Linked DNA regions of Sus scrofa. The protein of the gene in region 1 interacts with the protein of each later gene in a pairwise test. Links are inferred from orthologs where the notes say so. Each region holds a gene or a part of one and is shown on either strand. Other genes may lie near its edges.

Region 1 (4,294 bases):
CTTTCCAATGTTTTCTTCTGTTATATGGTGCCTCCCACCTTGAGGGCGCTTAAATACTAGAGGATGGAGTATGTTTTGATGTTTATTGAATAACAAGATTACAGAATATTTGATTTTTGTTGTCAGTGTATTGAAGACATTTTTGCATTGATAAATGTTCTCTAGGAATGTGATTACATTCATCAGGTGTGAACTCTTGTAAAAATAAATTTTGTATCTTGAATTCCCGTATATATTAAGTGTATCATCAATATAAAAATAAACATTATTTGCTTAAAGTTTTTGTACTTCTTCAGAATTGTTGACAATATAAATATTAAACTGATGGGGCTTACTTCTTTCAGATAATACCTTGGATACTTCAGTCTTGGGGTTGTGGATTCCATGCGCGTCTTTTAGTTTGTAAATTTCTTCTGGGTCCTAGTTACGGTCTTTTTCCCTGCCCTCCTCCTGGTGGTCATAACTGGCACAGGCGGGGTGAGGGATTGTTTCGGGGGATCGGGTGGAAGTTCCTAGCCCTCAGGCTGGTGGTGTTGGATTTGGGCAATAACACATGCAACTTCAACGTGGAATGGCCGGCTTGGTTGGCACCGAGCATTCCGGAGACTCGACGTAGGCTACCAATTTGTACCGTGATACAAGGCAGTTTTACCTCCCTGCATTTTCTTCATCTGTCAAAAGTTGGAGGCCCATTAGTGGACTGAGAAATGAATGTGATGGGCTACCGCCTGCGTGTTTTTCTAAAGAAATGCGATGTCTCACCGTGCACTATGTAATAAGGGTATGATTCTCCAAACTTCTTTCACTGATACGTTATATGTCCTGGATTGCAGTATAAAATGTATAACCTGAGAGTTCTCTTGTGGCGCCCAGCGGGTTAAGGACCCAGCGCTGTCACTGCTGTGGTGTGGGTTCGATCCCTGGCCCAAGAACCTGCACGTGCCAAAAAATTTTAAGAATTAAAAGCAAAATGTATAAACTACAGTACGTCACAGGCACAAAACACCGGTTACATGGCGCGAGTTCTCAGTAGTACTTTATGGAGTCACAGCTTCTTGCAAGTGGCGAGGTGACTGTGTAGGGTGCAGAGGGATTGGGATGCAGGGAGAGGAATAAAAATTCTGTGCTGGCCCAGCATCACCACGGCCGGTGGGTCTCCATGCGGTTCAGCACAGGCTGCCCCCCCCTCAACAACTGCCTTCTTTCTCTTTGGCAACAGGCTCCTCCCACTTCCCCGGCTCCGCATCGCCCCCTTTCGAGGGACAAGAAAAAAAAGGAAACACTTCGGCCGCTCAGTCCTCCTACGCGGTCAGGCAGCTAGCTGACGTGGCGAACCTGCCTGAGGGAGCGCCGGGTCCCGCGCCCTCAAGCGGCTCGGGGCAAACTGCCACCCCGAAGCTCAAGCAGCTGCCGCGAAGGCTGCGCTCAGGCGCATGCGCGCGGTGGGAGGGCTGCGCGCGGTGGGCCTGCCCCGCGCGCAGCCACTTCCGGCGCGCGGGTGGAAGTGAGGTTCCGGGTCGCTGCCGTGCTCGCCGGCCGGTCGTGGGGGCTGGTGACGGGGGCCGGCGTTCACTAGAGGGCCCGGAGGCGGGGCTCTGCCGGCTGCCCAGAGAGCGGCAGGTGCGCGGGCGGGGGCAGGAGATGCAAGCAGGCCCCTCATTCTCCTGCTTGCTTCCGTGCGCCCCCAGAGCGGCCCTGACTGGGTTACTCCTGACCCAAGCCGGGGGCAGTACTGGGGTGCCGAAAGGGCGAGGGTAGGGGCCGAAGCGGGCTCCCCGGCCTGGGAATTTGGAGCCTAGGGGTCCGGAATTCCCGCCTGCGCGACCTCGGGCAAATCACTCTTCCGTGATTCTGAGTTTCCCTGCTGTCAAATTGGAGAGACTTTGGGTCCCTCCCTTCTTTGACAGTCCACGTACAGGCGGGTCTGGAAGGAGCCTGAGTGAGTGAGTGGAAACTACCGTGGCAGATGGCTGGCCTTTGGGTCTTAGACAGCTGTCTCTTACCCAACTTAGCCGTCTCTTTTCTTGGCGACTTTCTTAGTTCGAGTCAAGGCTTTGGGTCTAGCCAGGTAACGACAGTCAGGATCTATTGAGAATTTATTACTGGCCATGGGTAACCTTAATCTCATTCGGATTGTTTTGCTCAGGGCTCCCGAGGCGAAGTGAATTTCGCCACTTACTACAGTGAGTTTCAGTTCTTTGGCCTGTCAATGAAGCTTTTAGGCAAATCACAAATGCAAAGACCAGGGAGAGGGAGAGGAGACCACTGAGGATTGCGACAGTGGCAGCTTTTTCTCTCCCCCTCACCTAAATCCTTCCTCCTTCCTCTTCCTCTACCCTCGCCTGACCCCTCCTCAACATTTTGGCCTTACACTTGAGGAAATATCCAATGCGGTTTATTTTTGTTTTCATGCAGGACAGAGAGCTTTGACCTCCAAGCTGTTTTAAGTCTAGTAGATAAGCCAGGTGAGTAGCTGGTTTTCAGTATTGAAGGTAAAAGTTTTTGAAGACTCGTAAAGACTTAAATGGATGCTCTGAAGTGGTAAGAAGTCATTGGTAGATTTTAGAGCAGTGCTTAGGTATCCTCCACAAAATATCAAAAGTTAAGGTTGGAGCCAGAATGTTAATGTAGCATACACGTTAGGAGGGAAAGATGTTTGAACCTCATGGTGAATATTATGTAAAACATTCTGAAGAAAAGAAACCTACTCGAGGTAATTTGAATCACCCTTAAAAGAGAACCACACAGCACTTCCAGGAAACATTTAAGGCTATCTGATACCTGTACAGTATAGTTGTGTGGCTTGCTTGTTTTGTTTTGTTTTTTTAGAAAAAAAGTTGTCAATTTTTTCTGGTGAACGGCTGATTGGAAACCATCTTCGAACTTTAGAACTTTACACCTTTTCGTTGTATTAAGTTACATATTTTTGTCTTCATCTTTAACAAAACAAAACGCTAAACTGTATGTAATTGGGGGAAAGATTCAAAAGCGTTGTTATGTTAATGTTTGCCCCAGGAAACTTAATGTGTGTATACCACAGCCAATGTGGTATAATAAAAAAGAAAGTGAGGACTTATGAGTCAGAGTCCTGGGTTCAAATGCCATCCCTGCACATAACCACACAATCTTTGGCACATTACTTCATCTCCTTGAGACTGGATTTCCTTATCTGTATATGTGCATATGTAGTAGCTTTTTAAAGATTTAGTAATTGTGTTTTATTTAGTGTGCATTAAAATTGTGAAACTTAATTTTGAAACCTGAAGCTTAGCAAAGCAACCCAGATGTGAAATATCTCTGGTATTTAACTTAGAGCTCTCTTTCATCTGATTTATAGACACCCTGTTGCCACAAGCCTTTGGCCCAAGTTTCAGTGGGAATGCAGCTAGTTTGGATATCTGGAACTTTTTAGGCACTTTTTTGGAATTCCTGGTTGCTGGCCTAACGACTACTGTAGTGGTTCAAGACCTTGTCATCAGTGCAGGATAGCCACACAGCAAAATGTTTGCAAAACTAAAGAAGAAAATTGCAGAAGAGACTGCTGTCGCCCAGAGGCCTGGAGGTGCTGCTAGGATCCCACGATCAGTGAGCAAGGAATCGGTTGCCTCTATGGGAGCTGACTCAGGAGATGACTTTGTAAGTATCTTCTCTAGTTTTTAATATTTGGTCAGTCTCACTATATTTTTAAAATAATATTTGTGGGAAACTTTCCAGCAAGTATTTTATTTTTAAATTGCAAGATTACTTGTTTATATCTAATTCTTCTTACTCTGAGGTGAGGTGCTTTTCTATTTTTTTTTCTTAATTTTCACAAATCCCTTTTTATATGCTCTACGTTGTCCTCTTGTACTCTTTTTTCCATCTATATACCTTGTGTATCTTCTTTTACATTCTGTTTTTCAAAATGCTTTGGCCTGTTGTCTCTACACACATATTTTAAGTCATTGTTGCTTAGCAAGTTCTTTGAGTTTGGTGTGGAATTAGCCAGGGAATTAGCTCTATGTTAACGGAGAAGTTGATGAAGAGATGACACTGGTGGCCACATTATGTCCCTTATTTGTAAAGTATCTTTGTAGTTGGAAAGATTTGAGGATACTGCTGTGGTAGGTAAATGTCATGCCTTACGATTAAAATTGTGTCTGTGGCATATGACAGGGTCCTCTCAAAGTGAGATAACTTTTTTTTTTTTGCTTTTTAGGGCTGCACCCTTGGCATATGGAGGTTCCCAGGTTAGGGTTCGAATCAGAGCCACAGCCACAGCAACGGGGGATTTGAGCCACATCTGTGACCTACA
Region 2 (4,304 bases), on another chromosome or scaffold:
TCCTGGATTACACTTATTCCTAAGTATTTTATTCTTTTTGATGCAATCATACATGAAATGGCTCAAAATTATTCACTGTATTATATAGTAATGTCTTCATCAAAATTTTGTTACTTTTTTATATTTTCCTACCGCCTGAAGATGATTTCAATTTGGTCTTTTGTTTTTTAAACATAATAAGCACAACTGTTTTATAACCTGCTCCTGATCATTCCAATAACTCAAGTCTCTGCAAGTCTGTTTTTGTTGGTTCATACTCACAGTGTCCCTGTTCCCTTGTGCGTTTGGTTACTTCTGACCGTTTTCTGTTGATGTCCTTGAGACCTTACCTGCAGGAATTCTTTAAGGCCTAAGAAAAAGATGTCTTCCTCAACAGAGGATGTGTTATTTTTTCCAGGCATTTACAAGCACTACAGTATATAACTAATTGATAACAACTTAACAGTTGGAAGTTTGCTGTATCACCCAGAAATATGTCTCAGGTTGTGAGAACTGTCTTGAGCCACAGCTTCTTGGTAATAGGTTTTACCATATCCTTCGGTTCCTCCTCACCCTGTGATTATACCCAGGACCAAAAAGCAGATTGATAAGACACCCTTGGGGTAAAAGTGACTTTACAGCTCTGGAAATGCATTCACCTGGTTTTCCACTTTCCCTTTGATTTTGGTCTCATAGTTTAATATCATGTTATCTGTGACACTTTCAAGGAGATATGTTTTACAGTCTAGCCAGCATTTTACTTGTGTTCAGCAGGAGAGTTGGTCCAAAAATCCTAATCCATTATTTTCAGAAAACACAACAGTCACTTTTTAAAAAACCCTCCCTGCATTTCACATCCCCTACCACTCTCTCTCTCTTCTTTCTAGTCAAGCTTTTAGTAATTGCTTATATTGTCTAATTGTCTATATATGCTATAATCACATTTACCAACCATTCACTCTTCAACCTACTCCAGAGTTGGCTTCTACCACCAATACTTCTTTCAAAACTTCTCTAAGTCACCTATGAGCTCCACATTATTTTCAATGGATAAATACATTTGTATTTGAGCTCGTAAGCAGAATCTGGAGAGAGCTTGTCATTATTTTCTTGTTAGAAAAACTTTCTTCATATTCATGACGTCAGGTACTTAGGGTTTTATTCATACCTCTCTGGCTGCTCTCCTTAACTGATCTAGGAGTTAGCTGCAGTGGGATTTAACAGTAAATGCTCTATATTCTCATTTTCCCTTCACTTTTAGAAATTATCTATGAAACTGTAATAGAAATAGAAACCACAATCTATTTGATAAAAGTATTATGCATTTATCATACATAAATAGTTACATCTGACTCCCTCTTATTCTCCAAAGAACTCCCTCTTTTAGAACAAGTCCATATCTACACATAAGCACCGCATAACTGGCTGTTGAATAAATCAACGAATAAATAAATGAACAAAGATGAATGTGATGTTGCCTTCACTCTCAATTACATTTCAGCCTATTTCTTGAAGAGCAGATGCAAATCAAGACAAATTTGCAATGTTTTAACATAGTGAACAAAATGTACTTGCTAGGAATCTATTATTAAGACAAAAGAAATACCCCTTAAAAATTACACGTAATTTATGTTCAAACTAGTCTAGCAAATTATACACCACACATGATTACCAAAATTAAATATGTAAAACAAGAAAAATCACAGTGGTTTTGATTTTGGGGAGCCAGTGGGAAGAAGCTGTTTCTGAAGTTGGAAAGTGAGAATTTTACTCTGATAAAAAAAGAAAAGCACAGGCTTTTTTTTTTTTTTTTTTTTGCTTTGTAGGGCCACACCCTCGGTATACAGAAGATCGCAGCCTAGGAGTCGAATCAGAGGTACAGCTGCTGGCCTACACCACAGCCATTGGGATCAGAGCCTCGTCTGCAGTCTACACCACAGCTCAAGGCAATGGAACCTGCAACCTTGTGGATCCTAGTCGGGTTTGTAAACCACCGAGCTGTCAAGGGAACTCCCAAAACACAGGTTTCTGATTAATAAGGCACCTTGTAACATAGGAGCAGCTTTCTTAGGAATTAATAGAAATCTAACAGGTTTTGTGATCAAGTGAGAGAAACGCCTTGAAAGCGCCTGTTGTGGTTCAGCAGTAGTACTTTGGTTCAGAGCCCAAGTAGTATCCATGAGGATGCTGGTTCAATCCCTGGCCTTGCTCAGTGGGTTAAGGATCCTGTGTTGCCTGAGCTGTGGTGTAGGTCGCAGATGTGGCTCAGATCCCCCATTGCTGTGGCTATGGTTTAGGCTGCCAGCTGCAGCTCTGACTCAACCCCTAGCCTGGGAACTTTCCTATGCTCTGGGTGTGGCCCTGAGAAGGCAGGAAGGAAGGAGGGAGAAGAAAAGGAAATAGAAAAGAAAAGAAAAACCCCAGGGACAGTTGGTCTTTCTCAAAACAAGTGCAACTATTAGGGTTTCCTCTCTGATCTTTCTTAAAATGTGGTGGGGCAGGATACTTAAAGTGGATTACACTTGGGCTAATGTTGACAGTCTATTTCTTAAGTCAGAATCAGAGCGGCAGTAAAAATTTCAGGTGAGAAATGCAACCCCAAAATTCCTCCAGCGACAAACCGAAATCTCGAGTGTTGAAAAACAGGTGTTGTCCTAGAGTTGATCTGAATTTCTCTTCAATCCTGACAGGGACGCACAAAAATTAGCTCTTATCCAAAACAAATGTGAGAACCGAACCTCTAAAGGCCACCCCCTCCACCTTGCTCAGCCTCGGGCCCAGCCGGCACCTCTTTAGGGTGCCCCAGGGTCGCTGAAGGCCGCGACCCCACCTGCATGGCGTTGCTCCTCGCCCCGCAACCGCCGCCGTTGTGCAGCCCCTGGCGGGGACTCCTGGCTCCAAGGTCCTCAGAAGCAGCAGGAAGACCGCCGCGCCCCTGCGTCTCCCACCGCCCGCGGAGAGGAAGAGCGGAGAACAAGAGACTGGACTCCCTGCTCAGGCGTAGCTCGGTTGCCAGGCAACGCGGAGGCGTGGCCTAGGCAAGGGGCTGTGGGTACTGGAGCGCCTGGGAGGTATGTTATTTGATATACTAATTTAGTAAAATCAGAATATAATGAGACTTAGGGTCTACTGGAGGTTAGATTCCTTGCTATATTGGTCCCAGCTAGTTGCTTCCTTTTTTTCTCTTTATATTTAACTATTTATGTTAACCATGCTAAAGGTGGGCATTGCTGGGTTTTGAACAAAGACCTGGAACAGGTCCCAAGCGGTGCCTCCCCTGCTCCTGGTACTGACACAGGTGCTGCCCATCTTCTCACCTTCCCTCCACCACCACCAAGTCAAGGCGTGTTTTCCGAGCCTCTGGTTCCCTTTAGTCCCCTGTCTTCATGACAAGGAACAAAGTCGTGGGGAGAGAACCTCTCAGCCGAGGATTTCTAAACCCGGAGCCCATAGCCTGTGTTTGGATGGATTTTAGGGGCTGCCAAGCCCCCAGCCCTCAGTGCACACATATTTTGGGTGCGATTTAGGGACCAGAGCTTTCGTCAGATTCTCAAACGGTTCCCCTCCCCCGTCCTAAAAACCTCCGAAGACAGGCGCTCCCAAGGAAGCCAAGACAGTTTGGTTCCTTGGTGCATAAGTTAAGGAAAGGATGTTTACTGGGAGCTGACAGGAACATGAGGAAAGCATTTGATGTTCTTGCCAAATAAGGTTATACCCGTGGTCGCAAAGACATGAAAGGATTTGTAAAAAAGAAGAAAAAAAAAAACGCTTTTTAGTGACACAGCTTAAACTTGGGCAACCCCCTCTGTAGGGCCCAGGTCACACAAATCCTACCCTCCTAATAGCCTTTTTGTTCTGCTGTATTTTTGTGTAAGGTATTAATGTATTAAAATATTACAAGTTTTGTAACCCTGTTTTATTTTCAACTTTTCCTCCTTCCCTTCCTCCCCCTCTTCCTTTCTCTTTCCCCTCCTCCTTCTCTTCTTCTTCCTTTTAATATCGTGGGGACCCCCAAATGTAAGTGACCTAAATCTCTCTAGGTTTCTGGGAGGCCCTGGGAACTGCTGCTTAAATTAGTGGTCAACTCCCTTTCTTATTTTGATCATCCCTAATCAGGCTAGTTGAATTACCATGGCTAGCACTGGCTAATGTTGCTCTAGGCATGTATGGCTTTGAAGCCCTCTGGTTCCCAAGTTAATCGTTTGGTCCCTGTTGAAGCCCAATTGTAGCCAAAGCTCTCTGTCTTGGTGCAGAAGGGCTCATGATTCATCTGGTTGGTGGCTGAGATCAATACAACACAGGCCAAAGAATGTGCAGTGGCCAAA

What was found.
Region 2: the proteins of GOLGA1 (region 1) and PDCL2 interact in a two-hybrid assay, tested with the Homo sapiens proteins (2 studies listed by BioGRID). The two-hybrid records come from large-scale screens. The link is inferred for Sus scrofa from reciprocal best matches to the Homo sapiens genes GOLGA1 and PDCL2.

The regions. Positions count from the first base shown.
Region 1 is NC_010443.5:265,703,080-265,707,373, reverse strand, and holds the start of GOLGA1 (golgin subfamily A member 1), read left to right. Parts: upstream 1-1,466; 5' UTR 1,467-1,620; exon of another isoform or gene 1,621-1,943; intron 1,944-2,415; 5' UTR 2,416-2,465; intron 2,466-3,337; 5' UTR 3,338-3,501; coding exon 3,502-3,636; intron 3,637-4,294. UniProt on the Homo sapiens protein: Involved in vesicular trafficking at the Golgi apparatus level. Involved in endosome-to-Golgi trafficking. Mechanistically, captures transport vesicles arriving from endosomes via the protein TBC1D23.
Region 2 is NC_010450.4:54,947,123-54,951,426, forward strand, and holds the start of PDCL2 (phosducin-like protein 2), read right to left. Parts: upstream 2,840-4,304; 5' UTR 2,816-2,839; coding exon 2,768-2,815; intron 1-2,767. UniProt on the Homo sapiens protein: Essential for male fertility, spermiogenesis and acrosome formation.